Ovis aries: one gene and its partners. The protein of the gene in region 1 binds, or shares a complex with, the protein of each later gene. Links are inferred from orthologs where the notes say so. Each region holds a gene or a part of one and is shown on either strand. Other genes may lie near its edges.

Region 1 (9,738 bases):
ATTCTTTTTTTTATTCAGATACACCCAGCTCCAAATTATAAAGTAATAAAGTCCATTCATGTAGACCTGAAAATTCAACCACCCTCTGTTACATCTGTTTTCTTTAAAATGTGTCTATGTCTAATAAAACTACCAAATGGGTTGTATATTAAGAGACTTCCTCTACACTGTCTTACATTTTTTAAATCGGTTCTCAAGCCAGAATTAATATATTTTTATGCCAGAGTGAAGATGTTATTCTTACAGTTTTAATGAAAGAAAATGGTAGTTAAAAGGTAGTTCATTAGTACAAGTGTCTAGGTGTGATTTGGAATATTTCCATATCCACAACACAATTCAGATGCTTCTGATACAACATGACATGGGAAAAATGGAATGAGTATAAAAAGCTTTGCCAAAAATTCATTCCTGAATATAGATAAAAAAACAAAACCAAAGAAAAATGAGGGATTAGGGCTTATTACAGATGCAAGGTAAGAATATGTTGTTCCCTGGAAAATATGTATTGATTTTGTGTTAATATAAACATAAATTTAAGTGACAGCTGTCTTACAGAGTAGTTGCCTTAAAAAAAAAAAAAAATGCCAAAAGTACACAGAAATCAGGATCCCCAATGAAAACAATTTTAGGCCATGCACAATTTCATTTCAGATAACCCAGAAAAACAGAAAACAGTTGACATTTTTCATCGTATTTTCTTTGTTTTTTAAATGAACCACAGTTGCCAATTCCACCTCCTCTTAACGATGGGGCAGCTGGCCAGTCATAGCTCAGCAAATATATCAATTTAGTCCACAAATACTTCTTTACAAGAGTTAACATATCATATAGTATAACAGTGTACTGAGTGGGAAAGTGGGAGTGTTATAATGTATCTTATACAAATTTTAAGGTAATCAGGAACCAGCCTGTAAGTCTCATTACTTACAAACCTTACTGCTTTTAAATCAGCTAATCAGTTTTCTTTTAATGGTAAATAAGGCTTTTTTAAAAATTATGTTGTATTACATTCTATAAAATTAAAGTTAAAATAGCACTAATGAAATTCAGCACAAATATGAACATCCCAAAATCTTAGATATGTGAGCAGACCTCAGTATTCCTTTTGAGATTGCTTTATCTGAATACTTTATCTCACAAAACCCACTAAGTATATTGTAAAATGCCTTATTCCACTTTTTAAAAAGACCCTCCCATTACAATATACACCCGTTTTGTTCTCAATTACAAAAACATTTGCCACCCAATGTAAACCATTCCTAAAATCAAAAATGAAACTAACCGTGCTAAAGCCATGAGAAAATGTAATAGTATCCCATGGCCTATAGTTACATAGTAATCTAATGTTTTGGACAAACAACTGGTCCTTAGTATAACTGTCATAACAAATACAAAAGAATAGCAGCCTTCCAAAAAGAAAAAATACCAAAAACACATTCCACATGTTATACGGTATAGTACCTACAAGAAATCAGTGAATCTAGGTCATATGCCCGGCAGTTTTCCTCCCCCCTTAAAAACAAAAAAGCTATTCCTAAGGGTCATACTGAGGACATAAAGGATTCACTCTCATTCCAAGAAAACAAAATACTTAAAATGATTGGTACCATTATGAAGAAACACCGTAAAGTAACACCGACCTACATCTGCCTCTATCATCCTCGTTACTGGCTTAGAGAGATGTGAATTCTAAACTGTCCCTTTAAAAGGAAGCTGACAAAGCAAATCTTTTCAAAATTAATTACGTGGGTTTATTTACACAAAGTCTTCCTATGTTTTTACCTATCCAAATCAAAAAAATCAGAATCCCCAGTTTTCTATGAAGAATAGGAAAATGTATTATCATTAACTCTAAAACTCTACTAACTGAAGATTAGAAAGGAGTGGACTCCCAACGTCCTCAGCCCGGGATTCACATGATTATCTGTTAAAAATTCAGTACTGCATACATTCTGACAAGTCTCTCATCTAAAATAAGGTTATTATTAAAATACACCTTCCTAAAGCAAATGAGCTAAGTAAAAACAGATATTACAGCCACCATTATTCCTTTTTAACATATTTTAATGTTAAAAAAGTTTTAAAAATTCTAATGTCCATGAAAGAAAAACTATTTGGAAGAAGCCCAGCACAATTTGCATGTAATATAGTTTCCCTAAAACATTGTGTAAGCAGTTCAAATAAGGCTCACATAACCTAATCTAGCAAAACAATCAAAGGGGGGAAAAGATTTCTGAGGCATTTGCTTCCAAATCAGAAGCAAATATAAAATAATTTTTAAAATTTCACAAGAAGGTCCATTTCTTCCCTTTTAACTGTTGTCTGCAGAAATTATTATAGTTTCCCCACTTCATGTTTTCTTAAACATCACATCCAATTCTAACTGAAACTCCTCATCCACTAACTTCTAAAAACGATCAGAATTTTAAAGCACAACTTACCAGAAACATAGTTTTAATCTTGTTATAAAGCGAATTAAGTATTACTGAAATATACCACTGGCTATCAGAATCATGACATTTTTAATGTTACAAGTTTTAATTTTATATTAAACTACATGTGATGACATAATTCCAATTTTTTCATGGTTTAATCCATAAAGGGTTATTTTATAAAAGCTTTCCAAAATCCAGAAATTGGTAAAATTCTTGGTTTAATTTTTTTTCAATTGCCATATCCTCACCCTACAATTATAGCGAATGAGATATGTAATGGCCATGCTGAGACTGTCAAACAGCTGAATTTTCTAACTGCCCAATACTGGACACCAGTGTGATGTTTTTAGGTATTTAATCCTCTTATTAGTAACTGTGATTCATAATAATTTAAGCTTTAAATAATATTTCACCTTACATCTGCATGTAATAGAGCTCAGTTATTATTTGTGGCAAGAATTTTTGTGACTGTACTGCTCAGCACTTCTATTTACATCAGCAGTGCTAAATGCCCAATGGTGAGAGGGGAGCCAATCAGATGGCAGATTAGATGTCAACTCAGAGGCAGCTGTCTGGAGACTATTACAGCCAGTTTACCTCCACAATTCAAATTCCAAACCTTGCAAAGGAGATCAAGTCAGTCTTTAGGCTCAGCCTCCGAGCGAGAAACAGCAAGAGTGCAGGACTCTTCCTAATAACGCTGCAGGACTTGGGGGGGGACAGGAAATTAAAAATCCAAATAAATCTGATTCAAAAAGATCCATTTTCACTGGTCTGCTCCCTCCCTGGGTTCGCTGACTAAAAACGTACGCCTAACCCACGATCCAAATAAGTTCAGTTTAACCGGAATGTGTTCCTTTAACGCAGCCTATCCGTTGAAGGTGACTCCTTTCAAGCAGCCTGCAAGCCAAATAATGGATTTCCCCGGCTTATTCTTGGGAATGAATCGATATATTTTAGGGTCGTTTTCCTCCCCATCGTTCTAAGACGTGGGTACTCTTTTTGGCTACTAAACGCTCAAAACTCGAAGCCCGCGTCGAATATCGCCGAATGCCTGGGCACAACTACGAAACACACGCTCGGCTGCCACAAAGCTAACCTTTTTTTTTTTTTTTTTTCCTCCTGCCTTCACCTTGTGAGCTCTAAGAGGGAAAAACGCGGTGTGGCCTGAGGTAGGACAAAGTTCCTCATTCTTTCCTCAGTTCGAGCTCATGGTGGGCGCTACCCGAGAAGCGGGGGGCAGTTATTTCTCCTCAGACCCTACCGGCCCGGAGCGCCCATTTCTGTGGTAAAAATAAATAAATATATAAAATAAAGCTGCCCGAACGGTCCCCGGCGCCCACACGGCTTCCCGGTGGCGCGGTCCCGGCCGCGCGGCTCGGCGCCCGGGGCGGGGGTGTCGAGGCGGGCGCTCGGCGACCGGCCACCGCGGCGCCCGTCCCGGGCCTCGGCGAGGGACCCCCTTTCCGCCCCCCGGGGCCCCGGGCCGCGCACTCCGACCCTGCGCGCCGCCGGGCCTCGGAGCGAGGCAGCCGCGAGTTAAAATGGCTTTGGGCGCCTCGCCCCCCCACCTCCTCACCTCCGCCTCACACACACACACCACCACCACCCCCCCACCAGGGCCGAAGACGCAGAAAAAGTAACGCGGAAAGAAAAGAAACTACAGGGCTCGCAGCGCGCGGCGAGGCCGCCGCGGCGGAAGCAGGCCCGGCCGGCGCGGGGGTTACCTGGGATCTGCCCATGGTCGGGCCGGGGGTGCCGGGGCTCATCGCCGGGTGGCTCCTTTGTTGCGCGGCCGCCCAGGCCGGGCTGGCAGCGGCGTACTGGGCGCCCATGTCCTTGCCCAAGCCCATGCCCGCGGCCGCCTGCTGGCCGCCCGCCGCCGCCCCCGCCGCCGCTGCCGCCGCCTGGGACTGGGGCTGCGACGGCGGCGGCGGCGGCGGCGGCGCGCTGGGGCTGCTGTAGTCCGGGTAGCTGCCGCCGTAGCTCCTCATCATGGGGCTGGGCGAGGTGAGCAGCTGGTTGAGGGTCGGGGTGGCCCCCGACGGGTGCTGGTTCTGCCCGGCGAAGCGCTGGAAGCCCCCCGTCGCCGCCGCCGCCGCTGCCGCCGCCGCCGCGCCGGCGGCCGCCTTGCTGAGGCTCGCGGCCCCGCCGCCCCCGGGGCCCATCATCATGCCGCCGCCCTGCTGCCGGGGGGAGCTCAGCACCCCGTACCCCGAGGACGAGCCCCCATAGCCGCCGCCGCCGCCTCCTGCTGCTGCTGCTGCCGCCGCCGCCGCGGCCGCCGCCGCCACAGCTCCCGCTCCTCCTGCTCCTCCTCCTCCTCCTCCTCCTCCGCTGCCTCCTCCTCCTCCTCCTCCTCCTCCACCGCCGCCGCCGCCGCCGCCCGCGCTGGGCCGGCTGTAGCCCGGATAATGGTTGTACTGGCTGTTGGGGTACCCTTCGTGGGAGTTCTGCAGGGGGTCCATGCTGTTGGGGGCTCCGGCGGCAGCTGAGGCGGAGTGCATCAGCCCCATCCCGGGGCTTTGTTGTCCGCCATGTTGATCAAAGCAAGGCCCAGCGCGGCCACCGGGGCCGCCGCTAGCTGGGGCAGCGCTGCCATAGTAATTATTAAACTCCGAGACGGCGGCCGGGCCGCCTCCGCCGCCCCCGGGCACGGCGACCGGCGGCGGCGGCTGCTGCGCGCCCAGGCCCGGCTGCTCGAACCGGCCGCCTGCCGGTTCCCCCATCTTGGGCGGCGCGTCGTCCTCGTCGCCCGGCTTGCTCAGCAGCGGCTGGCCCGGGGGCTCGGCCTGGCTGCCCGCGGCGGCACCGTCCTTGGCGCCTCCATGTTGCGGCTGCTCCATGTCGGCACCGGGCTGAGGCGTGCCGCCGCCCGCGCCGCCGAGGCTGTTGTTGTTGGAAATGGGATGTTGGTGCTGCTGCTGCTGCTGCTGTGGTTGCTGCTGCTGCTGCTGGAACTGGTTTAGCTGCTGCTGTAGTGCGTGGTGGTGGAGGTGGTGGAGGTGGTGGGCATGGTGGTGGTGGTGGTGTTGGAGGTGGTGGGCATGGTGGTGGTGATGGTGGTGGTGCTGCTGCTGGTGGGGCGCTGCGGCGGGGGCTTCGCCAACGGTTTTCAGTTTGTGGTTGGGGAGCAGCCCCGTCTCCATGGCCGAGCCCGGGCCCGACGAGGAGGAAGAGGAGGACGCCGCCGCCGCCGCGGCGGAGGAGGAGGAGGAGGAGGACAGCGCGGCGGCGCTTCCACCCTCCGCCTCGGAGCCGCCGCTCTTGGCGCTGTTAGTGCTGGCGGCGACCGCGGCCGCGGCGCTCGCGTTATGGGCCATGTTCAGTTCGTGACGGGGGTGCAGGGAGTGGTGGTGCACATTACTCAGGCCGCTGCCGTCGCCGCCCCCCAGCATGGGTCCCGGTGCCGCCGCGCCGCGCGCCCCCGCCTCCAGGCCCCGGGCCCCGGGCGCCGGCCGCGGCCCGGGGGGCGCCCGCCGCTCGCCGCTGCCCGCCCGCGCTGCTGCTGCTGCTCGCGCGGCCATGATCACCGCGGCGTGGCGAGGCCGGGCGGGGGGGGTGCGGGGGGAGACAATAAAACCCACTTTTTAGTCTGCGGCCCCTCCTGTGCGCATCCACACGCCCCGACGGGAATCGAGCGAGCCCCCTCCTTACTCCCCTCCCTCCACGGGCCCCGCCGGAGCCGAACCGGGGGTCTACGCCTTACGGTCTGGGCCTGTTCCCGCTGTGTGATTTCAGGGTGAAAGTTTTTAGTGCAGGTTTAAATGAAACTTTTTCTCTTTTTCCTCTCTACCCCGGATATGGGTAAAAATACACGACTGACTTGAGCCGCTCGGGCCCAGCATAGCTTGAGAGGGAGCCGGGCGAGCCCGAGCAACTATTATCCACTTCTCTCTGCTCGGGCGCACTCGCAAAACGCGGACTGGACTCAGCCCTGGGCCGCCGCGGCCCGCGGGGCCCTGCGCCCTCCTGCCCGCCCGGCCCGGGTGCAGCCTCGCGGGCACTGGCGGCCCCGGACCGGGGAGCTCGGGTCCGGCCGCGCCGCTGGCGTCCGGAGCGAGGCGGGCGTGGGGCGACCGGAGGCTGCACTTTCCCCTCGTGCCTCCGTCGCCTTGCCAACCGGGCGTTCGCGTGTTTGTTTTCACGTCTAAAAGGCACCATACAAAGGTGGAAAACGAGTCTGACGAGCAGACAAAAGAGGGAGAGAAGGGCCGGGGAACAAAGTTGTCTGTCGGCCTCAAAGGTTACGAGGAGCCGACGGAGAAAGAAAATATTTGGGCAATCTGTGCAAAAGCACTGCCTCTCCCAAGAGTTATGTAATTTTTCAGCTTGTTAGCCTCTCTCCCTTGATTTCGGGCCATCAGTGTGATTCCCACAACTTCTTCAAACTGCAAAATTAGGAAAGAGTTTTAACTGAAGGTTAGCCTCATTCCAGACGCTCTGTGCCCTGTACACAGCAGGTACTCAATACATGCTTATTACTGACTGCACCTGCCCCAAAGAAATGCTGATATAATTTTTTTTTTTAAGGCAGTGTGTGTGTGTGCCTGCACGGTTAGTCCCTCGGTTCTGAGACTCTGCGACCCCATGGACTATAGCCCACCAGGCTCCTCTGTCCATGGGATTCTCCAGGCAAGGACACTGGAGTAGGGAGCCATTCCCTTCTCCAGAGGATTTTTCCGACTCGGGGATTGAACTGGGGTCTCCTGCATTGCAGGCAGATTCTTTACCATCTGAGCCACCAGGGAAGCCCACGTAGGCTTTATTAATGAAAACACAAAAGTATTCCCAAAGGAACATTTTCTCACAATGCACTTGCCTGTCTTCTCTCTGAAGGAAAGCCTTCAAATGTGTAGAGTGGTATGCTATGCTCCCAACAACTTGCACGTGGAAATTTAACTATTGGTGCCATAATAGAAAGAGCTAAGGTTTATCTCATGTCTTCATAAATCTGTATGACACCTTTCATCCTATTTTAGAGGTTAGGTGCACAGTTAACCCTCTTGATATGAGTTCATTTCTAAGTAATGTGAAACAAAACTAAAAGATATATGTTATATTTCATAAACATAAGATCAGTGATGATGTAAATCTATCGAATCTAATCCTACAGCAAAAATGTTTCACACTTTTTCTTCAAATACTATCCATTGTTTTATCACTTTTTGATGTTTTAAATGTTTTTATTATTGTGACTCTGTCACCTAGTAACATCTTGAATATCTTCCAAAGCAGGACTTCTTAACCTAAACAATAGCTCAGTTGTACTAGTGTGGACTCAGTTTTCATGGAGAGAAAGCATCTGAAACCAGAGCTTTCAAGAAGTCCTGCTAGCTGAAATGATATATATGATTTTGGTAGAATGTAGCTTTCTAAAATCATCTAATTCTTCAGCTTTCCATAAAGGTTATTTTAATTTATTTCAACTGCAGTGGTTATTTTTGTTTGCTTGACCAAGTGTAAATATGTTACTTGACTAAATAGGAAAGGATATATGTGGAAAACTGGTGACTGATGGTGGAGGAGGGGAATCAGGTGCATACCCAAGAGTCATTATAGAATGTAGAAACAACAAATTGCAAGTCTATGCAAACAACTGGAAAACAGGAGTTATATTATCACGTGTAAGTGAATAAGAGAAATGTAAGGTGAATTCATGTCAAATCATTCATCAGTTTTTGCCAAGAGAATACTACATCTTTGTTAGTGTGCCTCTTTGACATTTTCTCCTGGATTTTCTCCCTTTATATAGTCAAATACATACTAATTACATGATGATACCACATAAGTTGAATTTTTTGAGTTTTCATATGCAAATACAAATATATGTCTGTTTTGCATATGTGTTTATACATATATTCTAAACTCAATTACATATTTATGCTTTTAGACATTTATAGTCCAACTATGTACACATATAGTCATAAAAATACATTTTTTCCAACTGATAAAATATATCAACATCAGTTCTTAGAAGTACAGCCATATTTTGTGGCTTATTTTCACAACTAATCCTAAAAAGGGAAAATGAGTCACCAAGTTCACCTCTGGCCCTTTTCTTAACACTTTTTTTCTATATAGAAAAATCATGAAACTTGAAAAAAAAACCAGGTATATAGGGCGAAATCTCTTTTAATTGCTTTTGCTTCAGCAAGTCAACTAGAAGATTGGAACCAAGAGGCTATGAAAACGAGGCCCCCAGCACAATGAAGTCAGTCTGCTATAAAAGGCGACACTTGCCAGCTTCTCCTCCCCAATGGCAGCTGCCACACCCTAAAGCAGACAGAAGGCTCTGCAGTCTGCAAGGAAGCACAGCACAAAGCCCGCAGGACTTGGTTTTGTCTCCTAAACCACAGAGAATGCTAAAATACCTCTTCAAAAGCATCTTGCTGAAGGTAGTAGTGGGCTCCTCTTTATTCAACCTAGGCTTCTCAAACACATCATCTTGAGAAAACAAAAGAAAAGCCTCTTAACAGTTTCATTTAAAAATCCAGGACTTAATAAAATCGCAGTTATCGCGTCTGTTAGAAAGTCATGTAATAGGTTCACATTTCTCAAAAGCAAAGTCATGAAATAGTTTCACATTTCCCAAAAGCACGATTCGAACTGTAGATCATAGTTTCTGTTGTGTTAGTTGCCTCGATTATCCTATATGGAGATTCTACAGTAGTTTTCAAATGGAAAATAAAGTACTACAAATGACCGCATTCATTTTTCCTAATGAATTCTTTATTTTTACACCTCTTGCCTAAATTTCAAACCATAATGACAACTTTAATAAGTTACTCTAGCCACGAAGGAGCCGAGGAGGTGAAGGCCCAAAAGCTGCAGAGTGGGCTTACCCTGCCTGCAGCTGACCTGCCACCCATCGAATGCCCCACACCCTCACCGTTAGCCAGAGGATTACCCAGCACTTTATTAAACATTACTTTATGGTTACAAAAATGGGGTTGAGTTTGGTGGGGTTTTTTAATGTTATGAAAAACTGATATTCCAATACAATTCCCTCTGAATAAGTTTTAGGGCACTGAATAAAAGGCTCTTCAAACCTGCCCACTTAAAGAGGATTGAGCCAGATGGTAGTTTAAGAATGCCACAGTTCTGTTCTCCTTACCTCATCACACTGTTTGCTTTAAGATTAGTCCCCTTTTACTGTTCTGGTTATTTATTCAGTAACTGAAACTATCACGATTCACTAGCCATCATATTTCTCAATGTTCTTTACATAATTTGGAACCAATTTAGACTAAAGCCCTGTCAAAAGTTTTACAAATAAGAACTATTAAAGAATAAGGCTTTG
Region 2 (9,773 bases), on another chromosome or scaffold:
GGGGCATCCAGGCCCTGCCTGACCTGGCTAGTGTGGGGGAGGGGGCGTGCCACCCCTCCGGGGGGCTGGCTGGGCGCTGGGCAGGCGCCTCCTGACAGTGGAGCCCACTGGTGGCTTGCCTGCAGCCCCACCGCCACACAGCAGTTCTCACTGCCCAGCAACAGGAGGCTACTGGCCTAGCTCTCTCCTTCATGTGATGGACTCAGCCAGGAGTGTTCACTGCCCCACACAAGGTCCCCAGCTGCGCATGCGGATCTCAAAGCCCCATCCACGTGCACGGAATCTCCTCCAGTGACTTCTCTAGGGAAGCCCAGCTATGCCGCCATCCTCACCGCACCACCGGGGCGAGAAAAGCCATCTGCAGCGCTCACGTCTACAATGGGCCAGGCTGTGAGCACACACCTTCTTCGGGGGGTGGCGGGGGCGGGGGTTAGAAAAAGAATCCGATGGTGCAGTTGGGAGAAAACCTGGAAGGGGACTGTCCACGTCCCCGCCCCCTCCCCCTCCTCCCCCACTGCCAGTGCCCTGGGTCTCGTGCCCAGAGAGCTGAAGGTGCCAGCAGGCCTGCTGCCCGCCTCACTCGTGGCCCGGGCTCGCTGCCGGTCTGCCTGCCCAGCACACAGATGCAGCCCCGGCTCTCTGCAGCCACCTGCCTCCCCCAGGCAGGACTCTCCCACACTGCCAAGGGTATCTCTGGGTTCAGGACGGCCCTCGTTGTACAGTGCTTCCCGGGACTGAGACGAATGGGCCGGAGATCCAAACGAGGCTGAGGCTGCCGCAGAGCCTGGCGCAGGGCAGCTGTGGTGCAGAGCGGCCCAGCGAGCTCCCTCCCTCCCTGCTTCTTCATGCTGCCGGCTATGCCTATTTTTACTCTGCATTTTAGAAACGCTACTGAAGGACAAACACCGTTCCCCCTGTGTGTCTGCTCTACACCCTTCATCTATTGTCTATTAGCGTGTCCAAGTTTTGCTGATAAGTCTGAATGAACAAACTACCCACAAGCAGCAACGTCCCCGTGACCCTCGCCTGTTCAACTGGGAACGTGCTTTCAAAGGACCCGAGTTTCTACTTCAAAACCGCTGTGTGTTTCTTTTGGGAGTGAACCTAGGCCACTCATTGTTCTGCCTTTCAAAGCATTCTTAACCACTCTCCAGAACCGAGGGCTTGGCTTACATTTCTTAGAAATTCCAAAGACAGACACTTGGAAACCTGGAGGAGACGGCCTGTGAGCACAGGGGGCCGGCGGTACCTGAGGTAGGTGGGGGGCTCGGTGCTGATGGACACGGCCTTGTACTTCTCGTCGTTGCCGTCCAGGATCTCCTCCACCTCGGAGGCTTTCAGCAGGGTCACGCTGGTGGCCAGGGTCGTGTATCCATGATCTGCAAGAGATGGGGCTGCGGTCAGCCTGCCCGACGCGGGCCTCTTCCAAAGGGGCGGCCTGGACCCTGGCTTTCTCCAGAAGCCCTGCTGGGCCGCCTGCTCGGGCTCCAGCCACAGGGCCTCTGGGGACAGGAGGGCTCCAGAGTGAGCCAGCCGGCGGGAAGAGGTCTGACACCGCTGCAGTCCACGACACGAAGCGAGGTGGAGATGGGATGAGGGATGAGAAACACTCTTCTTTTAAAACAAGAGCCCAGAGAGTTGGAAAGAGCCGCTGCACACGCAACAAGAGCTGGCCCTGGCGCCAGCGCCCTGGGAGCCCGAGCTCTCCGCAGTCCGACCACAGCTTGCCTGGGGAGCCGGGTGGAGGCGGGGGGTTAGGAGAAGGTGGCTCCCCAGGGAGCACCAGGCCTGGGGTCGCCAAGGCTCACCAGGGGCAAGCGCAGCTAGGGGCGCAGGGTTACTGACCGGCACTGCACCCGGCGCAGGAGGGCCCGGGAGGGGCTGAAAGGTCACAGCAGTGCGCGGACAAGAGGCTCCGGCTCCTGCGTTAAAAGAACGCGGTGGACAGGCCACGGCAGCGCCACGGACACACTCACACCTGACAGACTGCGGAGCGCGCGCACGCGCACGCGCACACACACACACACACACACGGGCGCGCGCACGCGGGGCGCGGGCCGGTTGTCCCAGGGCGCCCTGGTGCCCGGCCCGGAGGCGGCGCCCCGTGGCCCAGGGGCACACAGCATGGAGCAAACATGCACACGAGCCAGCGCTGGTGGACCGGCTGCCAGACCAGGTGCCACGGGATGGGCTGGGGGGTGGGGACGGGGAGGGGCGGGGAGCGAAGCGGTGACGGCCCGGAGGGGGGCGGGGCCAGGGCCGCCCCACCGCCCGGGCGCATGGAGGGTGAGGATGGCGCACGCCCGCGGACAGCACAGCATCACAGCAATCCTAAAACGTTTTCAGACCGGCGCGTCTTCACCGCGCCCGCGCCCCGCCCGGCCCTCCGACCGCCGGGCATGCCCTGACCCCGACCACCCTGACCGAGGACCCCCACCCGCACCGGGGAGCCCACCCCCACCCCGGGGACGCTCCGCCGCGCTAAGGTCAGGACTGCCGTGAAGACACGCCGGGGTGAAAACGTTTTATCTTCATGACATAAGCGAGTGGTTTTGAAACAGGTTTACAAACCCTCGTGAAGACGCACCCTTAGTGTTAGGTTTTGTTTTTTTACCATGTGACGAAGCAACTATTTTCTTCCTCTCTTCCACAGTGGCTAGTCGCCTCCAGAGCGAGGGGTATCTCTTGTACAGAGAACCTCGGAACATACGGAGGTAGTTTCCCACCTAGGGGTAAAGCGAGAAGGCTCATTACGAGGGCCGGGGCTCCTCGGGGAAGGGAAGGGCCCTGGCGCAGAGGCTCTGCCACCTTAGTGACACGCAGACCACCGCGGCCTGCAGGCGCCGGGCTCCGAAAGCAGGCAAAGCCCGATCTGCTGACATCGGGGGTTCCGCAGGAGCGGAGGTCTGGCCCGCACCTGGCCCAGAGCTCCCCGAGAAGCTCTGACCTTGCACTAAAGATCTCTGGCGCAGTCCAAAAATGTGAGGCCTCTCTTCCTTTTATCTTAAGACTCTGATATTTTTACGATGTAATAAACACCAAAAAGGGCTTTTAATTTTAGACAGATGTAGGATAATTTCCCCCGTGGCCCTTGCTGCTTTGTTTAGTAACAAAACTCAAACCAAAAATACCAAAGGAATTTTCCAAAGAGTTTCAAAAGCGCTTATCAGCAATCACTGGATTGGCTGCATACAGCATCACTGCCCCAAACAACAGCCTGCCTGTGCCAGATGCTCAAAGCACAACTTACTTGACAAAAACAAACCTAGTCCTAACGTTTTTACAAAGAAACTTCACTGCTTCACCAACTTTTCAGAAACAACCACTCGATCACGTGGCAAGGGACAGTCGCTGGACTGGGTGCTGGCTTCTTCTGTGAGCGGGCAACACTGCCCTCTTCTCAGCCTCCCTACTCCTCTTGACAGATGTTCATCAGCTGTAAAGTTCACCCTCGAAGGACCCACTTGTGCTATTTTCCCATGTACCTACCCCACTATAGTATTTTTCTTTTTTAGTTTCTCCATTTTTCATGAGTTTAGAGATTTACACAACCACGGCTGCTGAACAGCGTGAGAGAGCGGCCACAACGTCCCTCCTGCTCCTTGCTGCAGGGGCAGGCCCTTTCGAGTTACCTGGCTTGAGCGTGGTTACCATCTGGGGGTAAACATAGAGTTTCTAGGAGGTTTTTGACAAGACACTGACCCTAATGCCCCCAGTACCACCGTGCAGGTCCTGCAGGCTTCCCAGCCTCCTAGGCCCTTCCCGAGGTCCCTTCAGAACTCAGGGGACTCAGTCTGCCCCCTGGGTTTTCCCTGCACAAGCTTTTGCCCCCTCTGGACCTGGGTTTCCCAAATGGAAAACGAAGGTGTTGGTATGGAGGCCCCCTGGGCTCCCCTCGGCTGTGCCTCTGTGTGGTGATGACAGCTGCCCCTGGGGGGGGCAGGACTGGGGCAGCTGCAGACACCCTCCCAAGGCTGCTACCCCGAGTGGTGTGGGGCGCTGTAGGCACTGCTCTGCCTGGCGTGCCTCTTGGAAACCAGCGCCTGCTGTTTGCCCAGGGAAACCGCCCGGGGGCCAAGCACCCCTGCTGTCAGAAGAGCTGCTGGCTGTGAGTAGATGCCAGTCTAGCCCTGAACCCTGCCCAGGCCTCCTGAGGTCTGAACATTGTAAAGTCAGGCCCCGGACGGCAACTGCCTCTCCCTCCTGCCGTCTGGTCTCCATAAACTGCATCTCAGGACAAATCTTCTCACTCACCAAGACTGCAGTTGTCTTTCTCAGTCTGAGATGTGCTGCAGGGCAAGTTGCAGAAGCTGTCTAGCCTAAGCATCTCATCAGATGCCCGAGACAAGTGCCATGGACACCAGGCTGGAGCCAGAGCTCCTCACGCTCTGCCCACCTGACACCGGGCTCCACCCAGTAAACACAAGCTTGATTTTCAAAAGTACCACCGACTCAGAGCCAGTGCTAAACCAAGCGCTTTTCCTTCCTGCCCGTTAGATCCGGTGAAGGTTTCTTTAGTTAACCTGCCAGTCACCACATGCCGCATCCGTGCCCACAGGCTGGCGAAGACCCTTCTGAGCTGCGGCACGTGGCAGGCAGTGGCGCCTCTCTCCAGTACGGCCAGCTGTCAAGAGGAGCGTTTCTGTGATAATGTGAAAGTACGTTGCATCCGGCCCCGTGTTTCATAAAAACCGGTGAGGAAAGGAAACACAGAAAGTTCTGATGCTACTGACAACATGGGTCTCCTAACTCAATACAAGTCAGACAAGCCACAGGGAGTCACAGGGACTCCCGAAAGCCTCACTGAGTGTGACCATCATGAGGCTTAATTCATTCACAGCGTATTCCATCATGAAGAGGGAAAAAAAATGGTAAAAAAGAACAAAAGAGTGAAATGCGTAAAACTGAAAACTGCTGCCAGGAGAAGCAAGCGTCGGCGGCGTTTGTGACTGCTGTAACTCCCCAAGACCCGCACTCGCCTCTCTACAAAAGGGAGGCACTGCTGCTCGGCGCTTGCACACCTGAACTGCGGATCCGTAATTTTAAAATGTGTGTGTGGACACACACGCACACGCCGGAGACTGCCAAAGGCTGAGGGACACTGGAAGAACTTCGTATACTTGGTGCACACTGCTAACCCAGCCGGCTCACAGTGCTGCAAGGTCACTGTTTAGGTAAGGATGAAGGGGTTCCGCGCTCGTTCCCTCGCACTAACTCAGAGTTAGTCCAAGATAGCCGAAGTGCCAGGTGCCTCCCATTTGCTGATGGATCTAGCTCAGGGCTGGCTGGGCCCTAGCCATCCAAAATCAAGCATCGTTCTCCCAACCTGTCTTCTCACTGATAATGGAAGATCAGAACGCCCACCCGCCCAACTCCAAGTCAAAGAGCACCAAGCGGGTGAGCCCCCGACTAAGCTCGGTGTTTCGAATCAGCGGTTTCAGGATTCCAGCTGGGGCAACGAGGGAGAGGAGGGAGCGTGCGAGGGGTCCAACTCCTCGCCCCGTGTGCAGCAAGGGATAACCCAACACCCCGTTTCTGTACGTCCGGCTGGAGTTGTGGAACTCAGCGCGGACCCGGGGCCACCGCGACCCCCGCGGCCAGGGACACGCGTGAGCGTTCCCAGACTGCGGAGCGCGGGGCGGGGCCTGCTCGACCACGCCCCGATAGACCACGCTCTCGACCCGATCCGCCCACCGCGTCCCTGCGGGACACGGGTGGGCGTGCCCAGACGGCGGGGGCGGGGCTGCTCAGCCACGCCCCAACAGGCCACGCCCCGATGCGCCAGGCCGCGCACGCGCACGCAGGCCCTCCGCGATGAATGGAGACGCGCGTTCCCGGCGCGCAGACCCGCCCCGAGGCTCCCGCGGGAACCGGGCCGACCGGGAGGCCCGGAGGGCAAGGATCGGCTACCTCAGAGCCGATCATGTAGAACTCGCCGTCGTCTTCCAGCTGGAACTTGACGGGCTTCTGCCCGAAGGTCTTGCTCAGCGCCATCATCATCATTGCGGCGGCAGACGCGGGCGGCCACGGCCGGGCTGCGAGGATCGGGAGGGCCGAGGCGGGGCCGGGGGCGCTCCTAGCCCGGGGAAGCCGACGCGGGAGGTGAAGGGCGGGCCGGGCCGGGGGCGCTCGCGCCGCCGCTGGGCTTCTCTGCCGCCGCCGCCGCAGAAGACGAGCAGGCCGCCCTCAGTGCGCAGGCGCGGGCGTTGACGCTGACGCGCGCGTCGCCGCCGCCGTCGCCGCCCTGACAAAAGGGCCGAGCGCGCCCCCGCGGGCCGCTTAAAGGAGCCTCGGCCCGTTTCTCGGCCTTCCCGGCCGCCTCCCAAGTGGAGGTACCAGGGAAGGCCGCTCACGGGCAGAAATAGCAGCCGCCGCCCTGACTCGAGCGGCGCCCTTCCCCGTCTCACAGCCGGGGCTGGCGTGCTGCCCTGGTGAGGAGGCACGAGGCGAGGCCCGGAAGGCCGGGAGGAAGCCAGAGGCTCCCTTGCCTCAGTTTCCCCGCCCAGAGGACGCTGTGCGGCTGAGCACATGGGCGGCCCAGGGACCAGTATCCCAGCTCCGGGCCAGCCCCCCGGCCCCCGTTCCTGTGGCTCTGGGGATGGGGCGGGCATGGGCTGAGACTACCGGGCTTGCAGGATTCCTAGGCCCAGCCGGCGTCTGTTTTGCCCGCTGAGAGCTGGGGAGGAGCGAACGTCCCCGTCCTCTCCTTAACTCTGTGCCCTGTGCCTCCCCCTGCCCTGGGGCGCTGGCAGCCCAGCGGGCCGACACACAGGGAGGCACCCGTGTATCCGGTGGAGCACGGCAGTAGGTCAGAAACGGCCCACTGCTGATGGCTGCCCATGTCAGCACCTGATACCTGGCAGCTATGAGAGGCGCCGCTATGAGCATCCACGTAGGGGGGTGTGTGTGTGTGTAGCGTCTGTGTGTGTAGGGTGCGTGTGTGTGTGTGTATAGGGGCGTGTGTGTGTGTAGGGGCGTGTGTGTGTGTAGGGTGTGTGTGTGTGTGTGTTTGTGTGTGTGTGACTTGCTCCGTCATGTCTTTTTGCACCCTATGGGCTGTAGCCATGGGATTCCCCAAGCAAGAATACTAGAGCGGATTGTCATTCCCTTCTCCAGGGGGTCTTCCCCACCCAGAGACTGAACCTAGGTCTCCTGCATTGCCTGGTGGCTCAGACAGTAAAGAGTCTGCCTGCTCTGCAGGAGACCTGGGTTGGGAAGATCCCCTGGAGAAGGAAATGGCAACCTTCTCTAGTACTCTTGCCTGAAAAACCCCATGGACAGAGGAGCCTGGTAGGCTACAGTCTGTGGAGTCGCAAAGAGTCGGACACGACTGAGTGGCTTCACTCACTCCTGCATTGCAGGCGGATCCTGGGCTCTCTGAGGGTGGCAGGCAAGTAGACCCCAGAGAGTGAGGAGTCGGCCACGGTAACCTTGAGTTCGGTTCTGTGTCCTGACAGTGGCAGGATCGGAAAATGTGAGCAGCGCTTGGTGGACGATGGTCTGAGAGGCCGCTGGGGAAATGGGGAGCAGACTGAAGCCACTGTAGGCCTTCAAGCAGGACGAGATGGAGCAGGGGGGCCCCTAAACGCGACACCCGGCCCCCAGGACCAGAGGACTGTGCGGGTCCCCAGCCAAGCCTCCCAACTCTTGGTCCAGCTCCACCCCTATCCTGGCCTTGCACTCACAGAGACACCCCAGGCAGGCAGGTAGAAAATGACCGTGTTTAATGACAGTCGGTTTAAAAAAAACGAAAAACAAAACAGCTTTATACACACTATACACATTTACATGGCTTTGGAAGATCTGACCCGTGATAGGACTGAGGTATGCTGGGGCCCCCAGGGCGCAGCGTCTCTGTCAGGAAGCACCCCCACCAGCTGACCGGGCCTTTCGGCCAGGATCCTGGGGAACAGGTCTCCAGAACCACCGAACTGGAAGACAGCACCTACCCAGAGCCAACCCCTGTGGGAGGCAGGAGGCGCAGGATCCTGACACCCAGGTGCCAGCCCCCTGTGGGACCCCACAGCGAGGACAGTGAGCGCTCCAGCTCCCCAGCCCTGCTGAGGCCCAACCCTGAGGGGTGTGGACGGAGACCATAGGCAGCTGGGTTCCATGTGACCTGCACAGGCTGCGTGGAGCCGGCCCAAGACCACCCTCAGCCTCCCTGCCAGAGCCCCCCTGCCCAGTCTCAGACAGTCGCTGGCAGTGGCCACGACCCGCGTGGCCCTCCCTGCAGTCCTGGTGGCAGCACCCTGCCCTGCCCCCTCAGCAGCCATGGCTCCATGCCCTCCCTGGCACCTACAGCCACAGACACGGCCACGGTCTCCCGTGTGGAGGTGTCAGGGCCTGAGGACAGCAGGCGATGATCAGCGGAAACTGTTGGCAGCCTCAGTACAGCCGAAGAAGTCGGGGCCCACGAGACGGGGGAAGCCCTCCAGGGCTTTTACCTTCACGGGGTCAAACTTCCAGTAGAGGCGGCCACGCAGGAAATAGGCGAAGCCTGAGAAGACAGGAGGGTCAGGGCCTGGTAAGTGGACACAGGGGTGGGCGCAGGCCTTGGCCACTGCTGGGTTCCTTGAAACCCAAGGACCTCAGGTGGCCCTTAGGAAAGTGAAGTCGCTCCATCGTGTCTTACTCTTCGTGACCCCATGGACTGTAGCCTTCCAGGCTGCTCCGTCCATGGGATTTTTCAGGCAACAGTACTGGATGGCATTGCCATTTCCTTCTCCAGGGGATCTTCCCTACCCAGGGATCGAATCCAGGTCTCCTGCATTGCAGGCAGACGCTTTACCATCTGAGCCACCAGGGAAGCCCCAGCGTCTTCCTACCCTTGGGTGAGCCCTCCCACCTGCCCTCAGGATCTGGTCTGAGCTACCACCCAGCCTGACAGAAGCTGGAGCCTCTGACTGATTTCGCTAGCCACACCCAAGGGGCCCAGGCACGGGCCCCAGTCTCCATGCCACAAAGATGGAGCACAGGGGGTTAGCACAGTCCTTGGCAGGAGGAGGGGCGGAGAGGGAGGGGGCCGGGCAGAGGCCCGCCCCCTGCACACCTTCAGCATCCTGGAAGGCCGCGTCGATCTCCGAGGGCACCCCTCGCCAGTCAGTGGCCCGGCGCGGCACGGGGCTGTCCACACGGCGGGTGCTGGGCTGGAAGCGCCAGTAGTCCCCGCTTCGGAAGAAGTAGATCTTGGTCTTCTCGGAGCCCCACACCAGGGCGGCATGGATCGGGGACCCCTGGAGCCCCAGCTCAGAGAGGGGCGCAGGGCCCAGGACCGGCTTCTCGCCGTCGTACACCCAGTACTGAGCTCCTGTTGGAGACACGGGGTTGGGGGGCGTGTGCTGCAACAGGGCTGCCCAGCGGCCACACTCCGCCACCGACACCACCTCAGACCTTCCCAGCCTCAGTTTCCTTGTCCATAAAACACAAAAGGCCAGTAATAACGCCTGCTTGGCAACCCCACCCCCAAGAAGGACACTGGGCAATGCCAGCGGCGCTGGGAGGTACACGTGGGAAAGGTCGTTCTGAGCAGCAAAGAGGCCACCTGGGCGCCCACTCCCTGCACTTGGCTGCCCACCCTGGCGCCAGCCCTCAGGCAGCAGCCCCCACCCCCTGGCATGCTCCAGGCTCCCATCTCTGGCACACTGAGCTCACATCCCTCCCGACCTTCTCCAAGCTGTGCCCTCATGTGGGTCACCTCACCGCCTCTGAGCCCCAGAGCCTTGTGTCCAGGGGCAAGCGCCATACGTGCTCCATGGGGTGCAATACCTTCC
Region 3 (9,660 bases), on another chromosome or scaffold:
CAGTGTCTGAGGCTCAGAGTGGGGGGACCAATGTGTCCACTGGTTGGTCCCACTGCCCCCCACAATGTCCCTCCTGGATCTGAGGAGTCCTGAACAGACTGCCCAGACAAAAACTGGAGCCACAGTGCCCTCTGGTGGTCAAATCTTTGGGTTCTAGGTTGGGAGAAGTGCTTAAAGAAGTGATTAAATTGCTTGTTACCAAGATTCGAGTGACAGGAAGATCAGGCATCACGGACACAAGAGGTCAGGACAGGAACTTGCCTTGTGTCTGGAGAGATCAGAGGGTCAAGATTTAAAAGATTTCCCTGAAACCTCCTCCAAGAAGCCCTCCCTGACCCCCAGACTGGTCAGGAACCTCCTCTGGGCTCCCCTAGCCCGTGTATCTCCTGACCCCTCTGCCTGGGCTTCCCCCACCCTTGGCTGTCATTGTATAGTGAGGGGTCTGTTACCCGACAGGACTGCAAACTTAAGGCAAAGCCTAGGGCAGAGCCATCAGACATTTCATTGCTGGGCCTTCCCTGGTGGTCCAGTGGTTGAGAATCTGCCTGCCAATGCAGGGGACACGGGTTCGATCCCCAGTCCGGGAAGATCCCACAAGCCATGGAACAATGAACCCCGTGTGCCACAACTAGCAAGCCTGTGCTCTAGAGCCCATGTTCTGAAACCAGACAGTAGCCCTCACTCGCCACAACAAAAGACAAACCCGTGCACAGCAACGAAGATTCAGCGCAGCCAATACGTAAATAAGTAGTGCAAACACATCACTGCATGCCCACACAGGGCATGATTCTGTAGAAACGAACTTCTCCTTTCTTTTTGCCTTGAAGCTTTAGCTCCAGACCCTCTGCTGGGAAGGTTGTCTTAATTCAACAACGGCCCCCACTGCTACCCTGGCCACCACCCTGGTCCCTTGAGATTGTCTAAGTGTCTATGTGTGTGGGAGGGCACAGCCTGGGGCCCACATGACTCTCTCTCTCCTTGCTGGTTGTGCTCCACAGAGCCAGACAGTGGGGAGAGACATGGAGCATAATGACTAATTGATTCATTTATTTATTCAACAAATAATTGTTGAGCACCTGCTATTTTTCAGGCCCTGTTTTAGGTACTGGGGAGAGAGCAGTGGATTAAATAACAACCTCTGCCTCATAGAGCTGGTATTCAAAGGAATGGAGTTGGCAATAAATCAAGTAAGTAAATAGGTCTATAGTATGAGGATGGAGTACTGTAAGTGTTGGGAGAAAAAGAAAGCTTTTTTTTTTTTAAAAATATGAATCTATGTGGCTACACCAGATCTTAGTTATGGCAACACAGGATCAGCATTTTGTTGTTCAGTCACTAAGTCGTGTCCGACTCTTTGTGACCCCCTGGACTGCAGCATGCCAGGCTTCCCTGTCCTTCGCCATCTCCCGGAGTTTGCTGAAACTCATCCCATCGAGTTGGTAATGCCATCCAAACATCTCATCCTCCATCGTCCCCTTCTCCTCCTGCCCTCAGTCTTTCCCAGCACCAAGGTCTTTTCCATATGGCAAAGACTGGCATACAGGATCTAGTTCCCTGACCAGGGATTGAACCCAGACTCCCTACACTGGGAGAGTGGAATTTTAGCCACTGGACCACCAGGGAAGTCCCGGGGGGAAAAAAAAAAAGCTTTCAAGAGGACATAGAATTTCTCAGGGATGCTGTTTTAGCTGAGGTTGTCTCTGAGGGAGTGACATTAATTTAGAAACCTGAATAAAGTCATTGTTGGAACCATGAAGATGCCTGGGGGAGGAACATTCTAGGCAGTGAGAACAGCAGATGCAAAGGTCCTGTGGCTGAAGTGGGCCCGGAGTGTTCCAGGAATAAGGAGGAGGCCAGTGCGACTGGAGCAAAGTTAGTTCAGTTGCTCAGTCATGTCCAACTCTTTGTAAGCCCATGGACTGCAGAACACCAGGCTTCCCCTTCCATCACCAACTCCTGGAGCTTACTCAAACTCATGTCCATAGAGTAGGTGATGCCATCCAACCATCCAACCATGTTGTCCCCTTCTCCTCTCGCCTTCGATCTTTCCCAGCATCAGGGTCTTTTCTAATAAGTCAGCAAAGCTAGTCAAGGAAAAGAAGGGAGATGAGATCAGAAATGTAGTGGGGAGATTTCCCTGGTGGTCCAGATTGTAAGACTCTGTGCTCCTAATGTAAGGGGGCCAGGCTCCATCCTGGCTGGGAAGTAGATCCAGCACGCACACTGCAACTAAGAGTTTGCATGCCACACAACGAAGATCCTGGCAGCTGCAACTAAGACCCAGCACAGCCTAAATAAACCGAGGAAATGAGATGGAGGTTGGGGATCTGCTTAAGTAGGGCCCTGAGAGCATAGTGAGGACTTAGAACTTCATTCCAAGTGTGAAAGAAGTCATTGGAAGTTTTGAGCCAGACAGCGTGGTGATGCCAGCTGTTTTACGCAGTTCACTCTGGCTACCCTGGAGAGAATAGTCAGGGACTGTCCAGGGGGAAGATGATGGGAGGAGGGAGTCCTAGGACGGAGGCTGTGAAGGGAGAAGGGTGAGTAGATTCTGGATCTATTTGTGAATGTAGAGATAACAGGATTTGATAATGGACTTGAGGTGTGTGTGAAAAAAGAAGAGTCAAGGATGATTGATTGCACTTGGAACAAAAATCCATTTTCTTTATAATGGCCTACAAGGCCCTACATAATCTGGTTCCTTGCTCTCTGGCTAACCTTGTCTCCCTCCTCACTCACTCGACTCTTTTACACTAGCTTTCCACAATAATCTTTGAACTTGTCAAGCTTTTCCTGCTTCTGTGTATTGCATGGTGACAGCTTCTCAGGTTTCAGCTCAAATGTCACCTCCTCAGAGAAGCCACTTTCTTTATAGCACTTTCCACTCTCTAAAATTAACAGCTTGTTTGCTTGTTTATCATCTGTTTTTCCCCACTCACAGCTCACCTCCTTGAGGGCAGCAATTCTATCTGTTGTTCATGTTGTTTCCCCAGTGCCTAGAAGAGTGCCTGTCACTTAATAAATGAACAAAGGCATGGATTAACCCCTGTGCTTGTTTACAGACTGGCTTACAAAAGAAGAGACACCAGAGAAGTAGGCAAAGACAAGAATATACGACAGACTCTGGGATCATCCACACACCCAGGGGAGATCCAGAAATCAGCGGCCACCCATTCCCGCGCGCCCGTGGTTCTTGAAGGATGGAGAGCCAGAGCTGGGAAGGGAGCACTCCAGGGAAGGGAAAGGATGCTCTGGGGCGAGTCCAGTCCCGCCCTGTATCCTCAGTAGCCAATGGGCACACGGTTTTCCCGACGCCCCCTGGGACGTGTAGTCCGGACAGGGGCGCCCTCGGGCGCCGCCGAGCGCCCCTAGACTCCACGTCCCGTCGTGCGCCGGGAGGTGCGGGGATTGGCCGAGCCCCGCCCCCGGCCCGCCCCGCTTCGCTCGCGCTGCAGCCCCAAGAATGAATGAAATCGTAGCGCGCTGGGCGGCAGAGCGGGCGGCGCAGGCCGGGCTGGGCCCGCGCGCAGCGGCAGCGGCGCCCCGGGCCGGAGGCGGCCCAGCCGAGCGGGCCATGGCCACCGCCATTCAGAACCCGCTCAAGTCGTGAGTGTCCCCGCCGTCCACGTCCCTCCATCCGCCCCCAACCCGAACCCTGCCCCCGCCCTCGCTGGGGAGGGGGACGCAGTGGGCGGATGGTAGTTGAATGGGCCCCCCAGCTTGTCCCCCTGTCCCCCCGGGGCGTGCCGCCACCCCCTGTCTCCCTCCTGGGGCTGGGGGCAGGAGCCACTCCAGGGTCGCGGGGGCGCCTCTTTGTCGCTGTCAGTGAAGGAATGTGGCGCGGGCTGGGGGTGGCGGAGGCCGTTTCCCCACCCAGAGTGGGGGTAGGGGCTTCCTTCTCCTCCTCCGAGTCTCTCGGGGCGCCGGGTCTGCCCCTGCCTGGGGCTGGGAGTATGAATGCCTAAGTCCGGACCCTAGTCTCCCAGGTCTCTACCTCCTCAAAAGCATCTTTCTCTCTTTCCCCTCTCTTTCTCCCGGAACCTCGGTCTGCGCGGCCGCAGGGTGGGAGCTGAGACGTCGGGGTCCCCGATTCGATCCCTGCTGTCTCCCCCCTTTTTTTTCCTTCCCGGGTCTTCAGGACCTAAAGCCCCGACGCTCCGGTCAGTTTAGACCGTGGGCTCTCTGCCTCTCCCTGCCCGTACACATGTAATGAGAGCATCTCCTGTCTCCTTGGGGACCGGATGCCTCGGGAGAGGGTGCTGGGAGCGCCCTCAGTCTCCGGGGATTCCCTCCGTTTCTCCCTGTCCGCGTGCCTCCTCCGAGCTTCGCTTCCTCCCGGACCCCGCGGCTGGCATCCTGGACGCCTGGGTTCAAACCTACGCTGTCTCCCAGCCGTCTCCTCTCCTGGCCAGCCCTCGCTCTCTCCACTTCTTCCCTCTCTTTCCGTCTCTCTCGCTCCTTCCTCGGGATCCCGAACTCCTGGGTCCCAGTGCTCCCCGCCCCCTTCCCCAACGGTGACAGCGGGCTGGGAGTGACAGGCGCGCGGCCGCTCCGGCTCTCCCTCCCCGGCTGGCGCGCGCGGCCCTCCCCTCCCCCGCTCCCCGGCCTGGCGGGGAGGAGGCGGAGGGCGAACGCCCGCGGCGCCGCACAAAGGGGCCGGGGCGACCTCCCCCACCCTCCCCCCAGCCCCTCGCCTCCGCCACCTTGACCTTGAGCTACGGGTGCTGGGGGTTGGGGTGGGGGAGGGGCTCGGGGCGCCCCCCGCTCCCGCCCTCCGGAAAGGCTGTGCCTAGGGTGGCCGGACCTAAGGCCCCCAGTAGCTTCGGGTTTCTGATGGTGGGGGGAGTTGGGCCATGGAGGGGGCCGGGCCTTACAAGCTCGCGCCTACACGTGTGGCTTTGCGGAGAGCCAAGCCGGCTTGGAGGGCGTGTGTGGGGTTGGGGTAGGCGTGAGACAGTGTGTAACGGTGACACTTCTGCCTCCCTCTCGCTCTAATTCTTCAACACAGACGTGTTACCCCTATCAGGGACACCCTCAAACTGGCTGGCACTGGGCTCGTGTGCAGGTTGGTGGATCTATAGGTATCCAGACCTCCTCACTTTGACCTCTTGGAGTAGGTGTGGGGCAGCCATTGCGGGGGCCTGAAGACCTGAGTAAGCTTGGGGGTGGGAGTGCCAGTAGCCCTTTCTGCACTCACCTTCTGAGGGATCTACAGGAGGTGATGGGAGGGAAGGGGTTGGCTCCTGAGAGAATCCAGTCCCCTTAGGAATGGGCTCTGGAGGGTTCTGACTGCCTGTATTGGAACCTCCCCACCTTGAGCCTCAGCGTTACCATCTGTGAACTGGGGCATCATTACAGTTCTTATTATCTCATGGTTGCTGCTGTGATGTTTGTAAAGCACTTGGTACTGAGCCTGACTCTGACTAAATGTAGTGAGAGTGTCAGTTGTGTCTTGACTCTTTGCGACCCCATGGACTGGAGCCCGTAAGGCTCCTCTGTCCATGGAATTCTTCTGGCAAAGATACTGGAGTGGGTTGTCATTTCCTTCTCCAGGGGATCCTCTCGACCCAGGGATCAAACCCGGGTCTCTTGCATTGGAGGCAGATTCTTTACTGTCTAGTATCAATGTTGATTTCACTTGTGGTCCAGTTTCCACACAGGGCATGGGTGGATGGGGACAGGACTGTTTGGACATGGGAGTTTGACTGCGGCTGAGGGATCTGAGAGGGTGACTAGGGGTAAGGAAGGGGAGAGAGACCCTTCTCTAGGTGTCAGCTGTGGGTCAAATTGCACTGGTGGACAAGGGCCTCCAGGGAGCTGATGGAGTGTTCTATACTCAGGCTCCAAGCTGAGCAAAACTGATGCCAAGGTTCTGGGGGTGAGCCAGGTACCTGAGGCTAGAGGTGTGGGGGAGCAAGTGTAAGGATGTATTGGAGGCTGGTGGGAGGTGACAGAGGAAGGTGGCAAGGGCTCTTGGAGCTGAGCTGGTGGGTTGGGGGGGGGCAGGGCTCACTGTGGATGAGATTGGGGTAGCCACTGTAGGGGACCTGGAGGCCAGAGTGACTGTGAGGTGCCAGTGTCCCTGTGGCACTGTGTGATCTGTGACGCAGAGTGAAGTGCCTCACCCCCTTGCCATCTGCTCTAGGCCAGATGTGAAGCAGAGACCCACTCCCTGCTTTGGGGGTTTGAGGAGAGGGAGATCAAGGCCTTACCTGAGAGAGATGGGGGAGAGCCTGTGGAAGGCGTCTAAGACTAGAGGTGTGTGTGTGTGTGTGTGTGTGTGTGTGTGTGTGTGTGTGTGTGTGTGTGTATTTTGTTTTTTGTTTTGGGGTCATGCCTTTCTGCCTGGAGGATCTTAGTTTCCTGACCAGGGATTGAACTTATGACCCCTGCACTGGGGAGTGTGGAGTCTAAACCACTGGATCACCAGGGAAGTGTGTGTGTGTGTGTGTTTAGAAGTGACCATGGGTGTGGAAGACCTGGAGGGGCCTCTCTCATCAGGGAGGTAGGTGGGGGCATCAAGAGACAAAAGAGGTGAGGGCTTTGAGGCCTCTTCCGTCTGCCGGAGAGCTCCCTGGTAGACAAGGACATTTGTGGGCCTTTTTATCCATGCAAGGGCTCAAACCTGAACAGGAACTTTGGATGGGGGTGTGGGTTTGGTGTGGGTGAGTGGGATTTGGCAAGTGCTGTGACTCCAAAGGTCAGCTTCCTCTCTGGGCATCCCTTAGGGTGGAGTGGCAGAAAGAAGGGGGTGACCCACGTGATACAGACATCTGGGCAAGTGAATACTTATCTTAGTCTCACCTTCAAGCAAACACCAGGGGCTGACGGCATGCGACTCTACTTCCTCTGGGAAAATGGGGGTAATGGTAATATCACCCTGGTGGGTCATTATGAGGATCAGACGGGTGAGTCTCTGTTAAAGAACTGTGCCTGTACTTGGTGGCTACTCAGTATATTTATTCGTAACAAATATTTTGTAAGCATCTATTATATGCCAAGCTTCCCTGGTAAAGTAAATCTGCTCAGAGGGTAAAGAATCTGCCTGCAATCCAGGAGACTCAGGTTTGATCCCTGGGTGGGGAAGATCCCCTGGAGGAAGAAATGGCAACCCACTCCAGTATTCTTGCCTGGAGAATCCCATGGACAGAGAAGCCTAGTGGGTTACAGTTCATGGGTCGCAAACAGTCGGACACGACTGAGTGACTCACACACATATGTCAAGCGTTATTCTTTCTAATAATGGTTAGCTATCACCATTTTACATCTTAGTACATATCAGGTCCTCTTCTTGGAATGAATGAATTTATTGAACACCTACTACCTGCCAGGTACCTTTTGTTTTGTTTGTTTGTTTGCTAAACTGCATGGCATAAGGGATCTTTGTTCCCCAACCAACCTGTGCCCTCTGCAGTGGGAGTGCGGAGTCTCAACTACTGGCTGCTGCTGCTGCTGCTAAGTCGCTTCAGTCGTGTCCGACTCTGTGCGACCCTATAGATGGCAGCCCACCAGGCTCCCCTGTCCCTGGGATTCTCCAGGCAAGAACACAGGAGTGGGTTGCATTTCCTTCTCCAATGAATGAAAATGAAAACGGAAAGTGAAGTCGCTCAGTCGTGCCAGACTCTCAACGACCCCATGGACTGCAGCCCTCCAGGCTCCTCTGTCCATGAGATTTTCCAGGCAAGAGTACTGGAGTGGGGTGCCATTGCCTTCTCCGACTACTGGACCAACAGTGAAATCCCCATCAGATGCCTTTTGAAGCAATTTACCAATATTTAAGGGCTTCCCAGGTGGTGCTAGTAGTAAGAACCCTCCTGCCAATGCAGGAGACATAAAGAGTCCCTGGATTGGGAAGATCCCCTAGAGGAGGGTATGGCAACCCACTCCAGTATTCTTGCCTGGAGAATCCCACAGACAGAGGAGCCTGGCGGGCTACAGTCCACGGGGTCATAAAGAGTCAGATACGACTGAAGCGACTTAACACATGCACACCCCAATACTTACTCATTTAATGCTCACAATAATCCAATGAGGTATCATCCTTATTTTACAGATGAGGAAACTGATTCCCAGAAAGATTAAGTTATTTGCCCAGGGTTACATGGCCACCAAGTGGTAGAGTCAGGATTTGAACCCATGAAGTGTGGCTACAGCACACACGTAACTGGCACGGCTGCTGTCAGGCCGGGGAAGGGGCTGAATCGGGCGTGGTCCCTGTGAGAGAGACAGCCCCGACGGTGACCAGAGGCCGGGGACCGAGAGGGTGCTCTGGAGCTAGGAGGGACTCGGGGGAGAGGCGGCGGCAGGGAGCCATGCGTTGGCGGGACGTTTGCGTGGGCATCTGTACGTTGTCTCTAAGTCTCCTGGCACTCAAGTGTTTGTGTGAGTGCAAATGTATGCGAGTCTATGCGAAGGTGTGGGAGAGGGAGTGTGCGTGAGTCTGCGTGGGAGGCTGTGAGTATATGTGTGAATGTGTGTGTAAGTCGCCGTGTGTGGGTGTGTGCGAGCCCAGGTGTGCATGCGTGAGTGTAGACCCATGTGCGAGACTCCGAGGTGTGCATGGGTGAGCGTGCGCGAGTGGCTATGCGTGCCTCGAGCCCCATCTCTGACCGGCTTCCCGCTGGGGTCCCGCCTGCCGCAGGCGGGGAACTACCACTCCCAGCATGGCCCGGGCGGGCCCGCCCCGCCGCCCTGATTGGCTGTGGCCCCGGTGCTCCCGCCCCCCGGGAATGAATGGATGGGCGGCCTCAGCGCCCGCCCGAGCGCTGGGAGGACCGGCCCGGCGGGGACCTGCTGGGGGCAGGACCCGGGGAGCAAGATGGCCACGGTCATCCCCGGCCCCCTGAGGTGCTGCGGGACGGCGGGAGGCGGGGGAGGGAGCGCGGGCGGATCGAGCGGGCGTGTGTGTGTGTGGCGGCTGGGGGTGGGGCCGATGGGGTGTCTGGGGGGCTGTCACCGTGGGCCGGGCTGCGCGGGGTTGCGAGTGTGTGTGACTGTGGGTCTCTGGCAAGAACCGTGTCCGACGCGCTGCTTTTGGAGGAGAGGAGAGTGTGCGGAACTCCGAGTCCTCTTCGGGAAAAGGGGGTCATGTCCCGCCCCGAGACCCCCGGGGTTGGGGAGAAGGTGAAATGGACTAGGGGCGCGGGGACCTTGGTAAACTTGAGTGAAGCTCACAGTACCTTTGTCTTGGGATATGGAGTGTGTGTCACTTGTTCGGATTCTGGTGTTTTTTATTTTTTTTGGATATGTGTGTGGATGTGTATTTGGTTTCTTTTATTCTACTCTAGGTATCTTTGGATATTTGAGTCTTTGAGTGTGTGTGCATGTCCTTTGAAACTGTGCCTCATTTGTGTTCTGTCTTTGGATATGTAGGTATTCCTGTATTTATGTGCAAATTTTTGTGTGAATATGGGTGGATTTGTTTCTACATTGAGTATATGTGTATCTTTGTGTATTTGAATATGTGGTATTTTAGATGTTGGTTTCTATATTATTGTGTATCTTTGTGACTGTGTGTGTGTATCCTGTGTGAATCTGTGTGATTTCTTTGTATAGTGTATCTGAATTGTGTGTGATTTGTGTTGTGTATTTGGATATGTGTGTAAGTGCTTAAACGGGTAGTTTGTTTTAACATTTTTCCTCTTAACATTGTGTACCTGT

The links.
Region 2: ARID1B (region 1) and SMARCB1 share a complex: the UniProt entries of both Homo sapiens proteins name them as parts of the neuron-specific chromatin remodeling complex. The link is inferred for Ovis aries from reciprocal best matches to the Homo sapiens genes ARID1B and SMARCB1.
Region 3: ARID1B (region 1) and DPF1 share a complex: the UniProt entries of both Homo sapiens proteins name them as parts of the neuron-specific chromatin remodeling complex. The link is inferred for Ovis aries from reciprocal best matches to the Homo sapiens genes ARID1B and DPF1.

What each region holds. Positions count from the first base shown.
Region 1 is NC_056061.1:81,158,851-81,168,588, reverse strand, and holds the start of ARID1B (AT-rich interactive domain-containing protein 1B), read right to left. Parts: upstream 5,978-9,738; 5' UTR 5,963-5,977; coding exon 4,163-5,962; intron 1-4,162. UniProt on the Homo sapiens protein: Involved in transcriptional activation and repression of select genes by chromatin remodeling (alteration of DNA-nucleosome topology).
Region 2 is NC_056070.1:71,285,187-71,294,959, reverse strand, and holds the start of SMARCB1 (SWI/SNF-related matrix-associated actin-dependent regulator of chromatin subfamily B member 1), read right to left. Parts: upstream 6,192-9,773; 5' UTR 6,004-6,191; coding exon 5,911-6,003; intron 2,727-5,910; coding exon 2,588-2,726; intron 1,380-2,587; coding exon 1,250-1,379; intron 1-1,249. Other genes in the region: MMP11 (stromelysin-3), read right to left, coding at 8,367-8,500, 9,053-9,310.
Region 3 is NC_056067.1:47,413,318-47,422,977, reverse strand, and holds the start of DPF1 (zinc finger protein neuro-d4), read left to right. Parts: upstream 1-3,469; 5' UTR 3,470-3,574; coding exon 3,575-3,606; intron 3,607-8,760; exon of another isoform or gene 8,761-8,818; coding exon of another isoform or gene 8,819-8,847; intron 8,848-8,981; exon of another isoform or gene 8,982-9,123; intron 9,124-9,660. UniProt on the Homo sapiens protein: May have an important role in developing neurons by participating in regulation of cell survival, possibly as a neurospecific transcription factor. Belongs to the neuron-specific chromatin remodeling complex (nBAF complex).